Linked DNA regions of Mytilus edulis. The protein of the gene in region 1 binds, or shares a complex with, the protein of each later gene. Links are inferred from orthologs where the notes say so. Each region holds a gene or a part of one and is shown in the gene's direction. Other genes may lie near its edges.

Region 1 (3,760 bases):
ACAAAAATACCTTTTATTCCGACCATATCGCCGAAATAATGTACAAACACAATGTTTGTTTAAGTTATTGTCCTCAAATATCCCTCGGACGAGCCCCCAATGTAACGGGAGTGGAAGTTTCCACTGGCTTCGTTTTCCCGTTGTCTACCCAAGTTCTGGGATATTGGACAAAGTACGTAAAACTACGTAAATATAAACAAGATGTTTATTTGAAGACATACATTATGGTTGAACATACGATTACATGAATAAATATACTAAAATACGGTGGTGGCTAGTCTACTTGTCCTTATAACGTTCCATATTTGAAAGCCAAACGATATGAGCGTCTGCTCATTTTAAATCCTTAATGTAGACTGCCCAGAACCCGGTGAGTGACGTCATACTTATAGTTCCTATGGACAACGAGCCCGGCCGGGCACGTGCCAGAACAGGAAGTCCCGACAAGGATAATTTCATGGCCGGTCTCGGAAGAAAGAGTTACGGAACTATAAGTAATTCTAAAGTTAACCAATATCCCCAAATAAATAGAATATAGACAAGTAAACAAAGTGACCACCATTACAGTTGTTTACCTCGTTCATGTGCAAAGGTAAATACGGAAATGGAGATAGATAAGGATATATGTACATTTGTATGTCACCGTAGCTATTTATTAGAGTACAATTATATACTAGTACTACACTATATGTTGTGTGTACTATATATTTACTACGTTCATTCATTGACGGACAGTTAGAAAAAGACTTTACTCTATATACTACTCTGCACGAAGTTATTATGCATGCAACCCGCCACTTTTTCTAGCACTATATATACGGTGAACTCGTACTAATGCGAGTTTCACACACTTAAGCATGCACGCTACATAAGGGACACCCTAACTTTTTCCCTACTTTCAGGTAATCACATTTTTTTTAGGCCTTAACATGCATGTACTTCTATCCAATTCATAGTTCAATTTAGAAGGAAACTTCAAGTTAACATTTGAAATAAATGTTTATTATAATTAATATTTTATGTACTTTCAGTGTGAAATAAATGGTTTGCAACATTATATTTCGTCACATATTCAACGCCCTATTTTAATTTACAAAGATTAAGTGGCCATATTACCCTGTGACATGTAATTCTGTTTAAGTGTTAAAATTTTATTTTTCATCCAAGAATGAGTCAGTACACAATGATTTGTGTTATGGCCTGTCTCTCCATTTGTCTCACCGAGTCTCTGTGACCGATGTGGGCGTTTTTTTACCATGGATTTCTTTGAATGACCCATGAAATTTTTCAATAATATTCTTCTACTTTTAAATACCTATGTTTTTAGTATACCTAACTGTTACTTATAACTATTGTCATTCAAAAGTTCTTGATAAAGCCTTAAAGGCAACTTCCGTCTTCCCGGCTGTTTTCAAATCAGAATTAGATTATCCAATAAAATTACCTTTATCAAAACTGCCATCTGGTAAGGCAATTATTTGATTCACACTTAGAGCAAACGCAATAATTTTACAAGTCTCCGGTAACCAGTACAAAAATTGGCCAATGAAAAGAAGTGTTACAAAGGCAAGGTTGGAAATCAACAACAGTTCCGGAATAAGGAATAACCCACCCTTCTTTCAGAGGAATAAGTCACTGCTAAAATGATTTTGCTTGAATTTCATAACCGAATTGTTGAAGAAACACTGAATTTAAGATTCAAAAATGCAAAAGAAGGGTAATAGATTCATTAGATTTGTATAGGGATATAGTTTTAGGGCGTTACAAATAAACCCGGTATAGTACATGCTTCCGTGTTCTTTCGATGTATCACAGTATCAGTACTACCCGTATAATGCAATAAATTGGCATTACACTTACAGCAAAAAATATAAACAATGCAAGATCTATAAAATTGACAATATACATAATTTCATGTTTGCATCACAGCTGAAGATTGACCAATCAGATAATTACATTGTGTTTATCTATTTGAATATTGGAGTTGAAGCGGTGACAAATCTTCGGGTTTTACCATATATAGGTACACAAACTTAAAACTCAATTAATTTTTTGTTGAATCATTAAAATTAAATTTGAGATCGTGTTTTCAAATCTCCTTATCATAATAGACATGTGTTTTAAAAATCTGTGTGATAAATTTTACCGTTTGGTTTTAAATTGGAATTAAAAATTGTATTTTCCCATAGAGTTTGAGGTAAAATCCCGAGAATTTCACCTCCTAGAAATTTAAAGTGCCAGGATGTTCGAAAATATGTATTAACAAAATCGTAGGATGACTTGTAGTCCTACAATGTAAGTCTGGAATGCAACTCGACTTTAAATAAAGAATTTGATGTACATGTACACAGTACACAGTACAGTAGTTGTCATTTGTTTATGTAATTCATATGTGTTTCTCGTTTCTCGATTTTTATATAGATAAAACCATTGGTTTTCCTGTTTGAATTGTTTTACAGTAGTAATTTTGGGGCCCTTTATAGATTGTTGTTCGGTGTAAGCCAGGGCTCCGTGTTGAAGGCCGTACATTGACCTATAATGGTTTACTTTTAATAAATTGTTATTTGGATGGAGAGTTGTCTCATTGGCACTCACACCAAATCTTCCTATATCTATAAATTAAAAAAAAATTAAAATAGTATCTTCGTCTCATTGGTTATTGCACTATAGACGTATTTACACTTGTATGGAAATTTGTCCGCCATTACGTAGAATCACACAGGTTCCCGTAAACTTTGACATAACAATTCAAAAAAATTGACGTCACAATAAAAAAGTGATTGTTGCTTGACATCAAAAGGTTATTCGGAGGCGATCTACGGTCATTTGGAGACAAAATTCAGCTAAATACCTAAAGTGTAAATACGTTTATTGAGAATGCATTGTGACATCACAATTTCCATTAAAAAAGAATGCATTAAAATTTATATGAATTCATATGATATACGAAAAAACATGATCTGACCAAATAATGGCTTCTAAGAAGTTTCCACTTCACAACCTGGGCAGTTTGACCGCAGGTTGTTTTGCCCACACTATTTTCTATTATTCTTAACATTAACTGTTTAGACAAAAGTTTGTTTTGATAAGGCCTAGGAAAAATTTATGATGATTTCCCCTTTCATTACTCATTAGTCCAAATAGTTTTGACGTCTTGAAAGGTTATTTAAAAAAAAAATCTGTGACCCCTTCCTATTACAATGCTGAAACCATTTTTCCAATTGGACTTTGAGATAGAATTTTCTGCAAGTATGATTAAGACTTTAACAAGTTTTTGTGTTGATTTTAGTGCTTCATTAATATAAAGGTTTACAACACCAGGATTTCCCCTGGGTCAATTATTTTTTTCGCCACCTCTTTGGCCAAAACAATATTTTTTTTCGCCACATTATTTTTTTTTTGGCCAAGTAACACAAATATATTTTTCTTTTAAAATTTTCCTTTTTTTTTTCGCACGTGTGTCACTGAAACGACTTTGAAGTACCCACTCAAATCAATTATCGATATCGAAGTTAAATGATAGTTTTAAAATCAGAGACCTTTCTGGCTTTTGTACATTTTTTGTCATAACAACAGTTTTCTTTTCTGGACTATCATTAAAAGAAGGAGAAGAGTCGTCAAAATTTTGCTTCAAACATGTGTGTCGCAAAGTGGTTAATAATCCTTGATGAAACATGTGACGGGCGCCATTTAACCATATCATTTTGTCAATCAACACCTTTATTAATTAGTCCTTTGATGTCGATTGCTATCAAATGCA
Region 2 (3,760 bases), on another chromosome or scaffold:
AAAAAAGAGTGGATTTGAAACTCTATAGTTCTAAATATTATATAATTTTATATATATTTATAAACGCATCCTTACATAATTTTATTTTCATAAATTTCATAAAAAAGCTCCCCTTTCATATCTTTTAATATTGGTAAAAAAACGCGCGAATGTTTCAAGACGGAGGAATTAGATTTATCACAAAAACGGCGACGTCATAGTACATTACGTAGTTCATAACATCATTTCAATCGGCCGATGAATCGGCCCTTTGGCACTGAAAGGAGTATGACTTTGGGCCGATCATCGGCCCTATGGCACAGAACTCGTTAATTATTTAATATTTTGAATTGTTTGTAGATTTGTTTTCATTAAAGAGGGGCGAGTTGGCCACGTACATTTACGTAAATGTACATTGATAGTGGGTCTTCCAATGGATAGAAACAAGTGCCTGTGGGCACTTTGGTGAAAAAGTGGGGCGGTTTGTCAGTAGAGCAATTTATCCTGCTTCCCCACACTGAATTTTTACAAAGAGATTGTAAATATAAATTTTGATGGAAGGAATATAATTTTTTGAAGCAAATGTATGTCCTGTTCACGGCAAACTTAACCAAATTATCCGCTCCCCCTTTTTCAGAAAAAAAAACATATTTGTTAGTCGTACATCAGATCCATCGAATTGTCTGAGTTCAGATTCTGAGAAAATCTTTGCAGGTTCATTTTCGTTCTTTCCTGCTATTTCAATTTCAATCTGTTTGTATTTTCCTTTTATATTTGTGAAAATAAGAAAAAGTAAAACAGCTGTCAAAACTTGGCTGGTGGCTGCCATTGTTGTTGTTGAAATGATTTGATAAAACAGAACATTTGATTGGCTATAGATTTTACAATAACTAATCACGGACCTTGTAACGTATTTCCCGTTGTGAGTCAAATGCCGGGGTGTTAACTTCCGGTTTGTCTGCTAGAAGGAAAAGACCAAAGTTTGCATATTACTGCTGAATCCATCACCATCTGCCATGGATAAAGATGGAAGGAAAGTTGTTGTCTGTGATAATGGCACAGGAGTAAGCACTTTGAAAAAAATATTTCATACTTTACCGTTCTAATGATTTTAAATTTGTAAACAAACCCGGAAGTGTCAATATAGAGTTCCTTACTATTTATCTTTATATTTTTAATGCATAAAACTATACGAATAAAAATGCACAAACTACACTAAATGAACACAAACATATGTAATTCATTTTCACTTTGCACATATTACTTTATGAATCTGCATTCTATCAACATGATCCACAAATGTCTATTACCCAATACTTTTATTTGCCAACTACCCCTGTTGTAGTGTTGACAATTTTGAAGTTTTAATGCAATGAACTTTTCTAATCTTGGAAAGGCATTGAAAACTTTACTTGCATCTTGAGTACCAGTAAATTTGCTTGCGGTATTGTTTTCTAAAAAAACAGGTTCCAAACAGTCTGCGCAAATGGCGGATCTAGGTGGAGGGGGGTGGTTGGACCCTATATGTACCTTTTTTTTGGAAGATCAATGCATTTGAATGGGGACATATGGTTGGACCTCCTTCCCCTCCCCTGTCTATCCTGGGTTCGGAACACACCCCCCATTTTTTTTTAAATGGCTGTATCCGCCCCTGTTGCCAGGGATTGAAGTTAAGATTTTGGCACGGTTGCCCACAGCTTAAATTTGTAGACAATATATATAGTTTTAAATTAGGGAAGAAGAAATTTCAGTAGCCCACACCAAATTTTAGGGGCCATTGGTGAGTGTGCCTCTGCTAATTTCATACTGTGTCACTCTGTGTGCACCGTTACTAATCCGCCTCTCTGCGCTGTTACAAATGTACTAACAGTGCTACTGGCTTTAGCCACTAGTCTGGTGCCCAAGACTAATTAAACTTTATTCGAATTAGTTAGTTTATTAAAAACTTTGTTTAGACACATAAAAAAAAACCTCTTAATATTGGGTCTTTAGACTAGTAGTCAAAAAGTATTTAGTGCAGACTGTCGAAACATGATTACAGGAGTCCAAAACTAGCAAAGCCTGAAATAAAAATTTGACAATGGATTGGTCTTCTTTGAATTCAGTTTCATTTATATGTGGTAGAAAAGATTGCATGTATTTTCTAGGTTATGAAATGTAAATAAGATTCTAGACGTTATTTTGAAAATTGTTTTCTCTCATTGTCATGATTGTCAGTTATCAGGAAGATTTGATTTCATATCCTGCTTGTTATTATTCCCAATCTTAATACCAATTTTAAGTCTTGGTTTGTTCATTTGAACTTATTCTGACTCTAATTCAAATTATCAAAAGTTACAAAGCAGCTAATGATAATTCTCTTTTATTTACTTTTAGCAGGTTACATGTACAATGATGTATGTTGTTAGTGTTTCCTGCAGCTTTTAAAAAGGGCAGGGTAATTGTTAGCTCAGAGGGCACATTAAGCACGATGGACAACAATTTTAGGGCACTTACTTAATATAAACAGGCAATTTCTATAAAATGGATTCATTTAAAACATACTAGTTTAATGCTATAAAAAGGACATATACATCTGTAATCAATCATTAAAACAAATTGTTAAACAAGAAAAAGTGTTTAAAACATATATATGAAATATTTAAAACAATAAACACAATTAAAAACAAAATCAGTTCTTTAAAAATGTTTAAAAACAAGAAAGAACTATGTCATATATATATATAAAAATATTGCTTTTGTCATATTAATTGTCATTGACAAATCCTCCTTTTTTCCCCTAAAAACAGGTTGACACATTCCCTGATATCCAAATCATCTATTTGCTGACACTAGAACAAGATTGTTTACAGTTGACACATTCAGTCTATTTCTGCCTCTTTGGTGCTGAAAATAAATAAATTACACATAAAACAAGAATATCTTAAATAATCTGGAAGTTTTTTCATAAATTGTTCCTTTCTTAAATTAATTCAAATTAAAAACTGAAGAAGTAAATTTAAAAAAAATAATTTGATGAAAAAATGAATTAATTGAAAGTAATTAATATGCAAGTGATTTCATGAGATCATTGGCCTAACTCAACTTTAACCTTAAATTATCCCTTTGACAAAAGTTTATTTTTACCCCCGAAATAACAGTAACACCATTGCAAGTGCGTAACCATTTTGTAATAAAAATCTACAAACCTTTAAAAAAATGATAAAAGCTTTCTGCATTTTGCGGCCTGTTTCTCATTTTCTTCCTCACGTTTTCACTTCCGATTTGTTGATGGCATGATAAGTATCTGTATTCACTATTCAATCTTTTGCAGTTTGCTAATCAGCTGATTACGAAATCGATTACAAAATGGCGTCCTAGTGAACTTTTGTTTACGTTTGAAGGGAAATAACTCTAGCGGTATTCATAAAATATGTCATGTCTAAGTTATCAACATCAATCTGTAAATTTAAATACATATACATTTGTACATGTACATGTCTTTAAGTAAAATTGTACATACATGTCTGTTTACTGCTCGCCAAACTACGTTTTAGATTGGGGAAAATGCATAAGAAACCAAACTTTGTGTTAGTTAATCATGTTTAAATGTACACTATGAATCTTATTTCAGCTGAGGCCAAAATAAAAGATTTGTTTGTTTTCCCTCCCCATACCTGGGTCAAAAATAAGCTCCCTTGTAAAAAAATATTTTCCACAAAAAAAATTGATATTATTTATATTCCCTTAGGCCAAAATAAAAAGATTGTATGTTTGCCCAAACGCCACCGACCCAAAATAA
Region 3 (3,760 bases), on another chromosome or scaffold:
ATCTTTTTTTGTGATAATTTTCATATCATGCTTCTAGCTTGAGATGGAAAAATTATCGCTAGAAACTAAGGAGGCCACGTGGCGTTGCTAACGAAATTGACATGAAATTGACAACGTCGTCATAGTTAAAATAGCGATAAACAGATTATCATTGGTCATCTCAACTCGATTGCTTTTCTCACTTTCGCTGTACCAGCTCAAGCGAGAAAATCAATCTCGTTGAGATGATCAACGATAATCTATAAATATACATTGCACAATAACAAAATAAGACAAATACCCAGCCTAGATAGGCTTATGAGACACCATATATACAAATATATTTCTATTTAACAAATATTTTCATACAAATTGTAAAACATAGTACAATTTCAAATATGTTTGAAATTATCCGGGTTTTTCACATCATAAAAAAAAAAAGAAGTAGGCCAAAACTTTTAAAAATAGAAATTACAAAATTAAGTATGACGTAAAAATAAATGATATGTAATAAAAAAAAATATTTTAAAGAGGTTATATAAACAGATTGCGAAGAATAAAATGAAATTATCTTGTTGTTTTATTAAAAAACCTCTCATATGTGAATTATATTCATCAAAATTTTACATGTTCTGTATTAAATTGTTGACCGTAATCATCTATTGAGAAAAAAATGTAGAATCCAACCAAATTCACTAAAATTTCATGAACCGAAATGAACAGTAATATCTCATGATATGATTTTAACATACACATGTATAAGGTCAATTTAATTAATCATCGTGTACGCTCTCAAAGATAAACCTTGCTATGCATTATTTTATTGGTATTTTAATTTCCATGTTGAATTGTTTTATCATTTCGGGATCTTAAAATTAGCTGATTATGTGTTATAGTCTTTGCTCATTGTTGAAGGCATTACGGTGACCATCATACAACATATATGTTAATTTTCATTATACTTTTGTCCAGTTTTAATGAGTCTCCATTAGGCGGATCCAGGGGGCCCGGCCCCCCCCCCTTTCGTGGGAAAAATTTGGTTGATTATATAGGAAATCACTGAAGCATGAATGGAGCGGGCCCCCCCTTAGGTCATGCAGTCAACGCCCCCCCCCCCCCCCCCCCCCCCTTAGGAAAAGTTCTGGATCCGTCACTGCTTTGTCTGATTATTTTACTACGAGACTGAGAGAGAGAAAGATTTTCTTTACCCCCTATTTCCCCCCTCATTTAATTTAAACAACAAATCATCAATCGGATATAGCATTTTAAAATTTGAAATAAAAAAAAAACAAGCACAAAATTTGAAGATCCAATTCATACATGCATAATATAAATAAAAAATATTTTCCCATTTTGTACCTCATTTACCTTCGACTGGTATCCGTATAATTCAGTCCATCTACCACATTTCTTATTTGTTATGAAAATATATTAAGTTTGAAATTTTAACTTGAAACTTAAAAATAAACAAGTTCGAGCACCAAATTTACTTTACCATTGCATTTTGAGTGGTTATCGTTAAATTTTAGAAATAAAAGTTCTGCATAGAATATGGTAATCACCTCCCATCGGCCATGTTGTTTCTCATGTCGCCGGCTGAGTCACTTCCTGCTTTCTGTTTTTAACTCCAAACAACTTTATTTAACATACATTCAATCATAAACAATGGCTGGACGACTTCCAGCGGTTGTAGTAGACTGTGGAACCGGGTATGCAACAATTAACCTCAATCCCCATTAAAAACCAACCCTACTACCTGCAAAAATGAAAATGGGCGGATTTTCTGAAAGGTGTATGCATTTAATGCACTTACAACGTTCCCAGTAAACAATATCTACATCTTTTGTATTGGTTGTTAAAATAAAACACTAAATACTTCCTTAAACACTTTGTTCACGTGATATAATTACAAAAATTGTGTATTGCCGGTTTATGAATATGTAAATAGAACAGGAAGCTACGTTTTATGACTAAATAGCAATAAACCTGTTGACAAAGTTGTCACTTCCTTGAGGACATCAAGGACCATCTCCTTCAGCCATCTTTATACTTATTGCAATATTCTGGGCGTGTATTCATTAAGATGTCATTCGGAAAGTCATTTGGTCCTACAGGGACCCCAGCTGTTATTATTGACTGTGGCACAGGGTTTGTACATTTTGTAAATACAAGAAAAAGTCATTAAAAATGTTCAAGTTGAAACAGGAAATGAATGTAATGGAGGGTGTTTATGTTTTGTGCACTCATTTTACATGCAATCAGCTATAGGCAGATAGGAATATCTCACCTCCTGGTACATTTAGTAAATGTATCTGTCTAAAAATACAATCATTGGAATAAAATGTCTAAGATATCAAGAAAACACACTTTGCACTTATTTAAATTAGTTAATATAAAATTGTTATCCAAATTAATTAAAGAAAGGAATTCAACTCGCTCAGCCCTCTAACATAAGAAAATCAAAGGTTCTTGGTTGAAGAAATCTACATGTCATATCAAATGTAGGAAAGATTCATTATGGTTGAAATTTTATTGCGGCTGTGGTTATGATTACGACAAATATCAATGCTTCCTGTATTGACAGTTTTTAAATTGGACTGTCAAAACAGATCGACCAATATTCAATCTGAAACATGTGGTAGATTATTAGATTTTTGGCATAAAGCTAACCTTCAGTTATTTTAAATCTTGTGTGAATGCTTGTGATATTCTTATGGATAAAACATGGTTTCCATTAATTCCTCATCAATTAGAAGTTGAAAATGCGTATTATAAATTATTCTAGAACTCTTCACACTTGTATTCATATTATTTCACACTTTAAATGTCCTTTTCATGATTGGCACCCTGCCTTTTTGAAATCCTAGCTTGAACACTAAATTTCTATAGCAAACTTTTTGGAACTTAAACAAACCTGATGAAATCTTTGTTTTCTCTTTTTGCCTATACATGTATAGTTCTCTTTAATATACACCCATGTTTGGCTATTTTGATTTTGAGGTTAAACACTGCAGACAATACACGAAAGAATTGGTTATAATAAATGAATGGTTAATTATTGAGTTTCCTGAAATTAAAGTTTTGAACAGAATTGTCAATTGAGCTGTGCTGTGATAGATATATAATTAAAGTTTTACATGCATTAATATTTTATTTGCTTGTACTTTTACAGGTACACCAAGATGGGGTATGCCGGTAACACAGAACCACAGTTCATTGTACCATCAGCCATTGCTGTAAAAGAATCGGCATCAGTAGGAGATAAAGCTATACAACGACTTGGTAAAGGGGTGGAGGACCTAGACTTCTTTATTGGAGATGAAGCCTTGAGTGCAACATCATACAGTGTAAAGGTAAAGAGTAATTTAGAAAAATATTTGTGGTGACAGTTAAAATGGTAGATAACAGGCTGTAATTCAGTGGTTGTCGTTTGTTTATGTGTTACATATTTGTTTTTCGTTCATTTTTATACGACCGCAAAATTTGAAAAAATTTTCGTCGTATATTGCTATCACGTTGGGGTCGGCGTCGTCGTCGTTGTCCGGCGTCCGGATACTTTTAGTTTTCGCACTCTAACTTTAGTAAAAGTGAATGGAAATCTATGAAATTTTAATACAAGGTTAATGACCACAAAAGGAAGGTTGGTATTGATTTTGGGAGTTTTGGTCCCAACATTTTAGGAATTAGGGGCCAAAAAGGGCCCAAATAAGCATTTTCTTGGTTTTCGCACTATAACTTTAGTTTAAGTTAATAGAAATCTATGAAATTTTGACACAAGGTT

What was found.
Region 2: actin-related protein 2/3 complex subunit 2-like (region 1) and actin-related protein 2 share a complex: the UniProt entries of both Drosophila melanogaster proteins name them as parts of the arp2/3 complex. The link is inferred for Mytilus edulis from reciprocal best matches to the Drosophila melanogaster genes Arpc2 and Arp2.
Region 3: actin-related protein 2/3 complex subunit 2-like (region 1) and actin-related protein 3 share a complex: the UniProt entries of both Drosophila melanogaster proteins name them as parts of the arp2/3 complex. The link is inferred for Mytilus edulis from reciprocal best matches to the Drosophila melanogaster genes Arpc2 and Arp3.

Annotation. Positions count from the first base shown.
Region 1 is NC_092345.1:92,662,268-92,666,027, reverse strand, and holds the start of actin-related protein 2/3 complex subunit 2-like, read left to right. Parts: upstream 1-1,549; 5' UTR 1,550-1,643; coding exon 1,644-1,717; intron 1,718-3,760. UniProt on the Drosophila melanogaster protein: Functions as actin-binding component of the Arp2/3 complex which is involved in regulation of actin polymerization and together with an activating nucleation-promoting factor (NPF) mediates the formation of branched actin networks.
Region 2 is NC_092346.1:18,322,330-18,326,089, forward strand, and holds the start of actin-related protein 2, read left to right. Parts: upstream 1-884; 5' UTR 885-995; coding exon 996-1,043; intron 1,044-3,760. Other genes in the region: uncharacterized protein, read right to left, coding at 644-808. UniProt on the Drosophila melanogaster protein: Functions as ATP-binding component of the Arp2/3 complex which is involved in regulation of actin polymerization and together with an activating nucleation-promoting factor (NPF) mediates the formation of branched actin networks.
Region 3 is NC_092357.1:11,020,940-11,024,699, forward strand, and holds the start of actin-related protein 3, read left to right. Parts: upstream 1-1,523; 5' UTR 1,524-1,644; coding exon of another isoform or gene 1,645-1,688; 5' UTR 1,689-2,062; coding exon 2,063-2,127; intron 2,128-3,151; coding exon 3,152-3,332; intron 3,333-3,760. UniProt on the Drosophila melanogaster protein: Functions as ATP-binding component of the Arp2/3 complex which is involved in regulation of actin polymerization and together with an activating nucleation-promoting factor (NPF) mediates the formation of branched actin networks.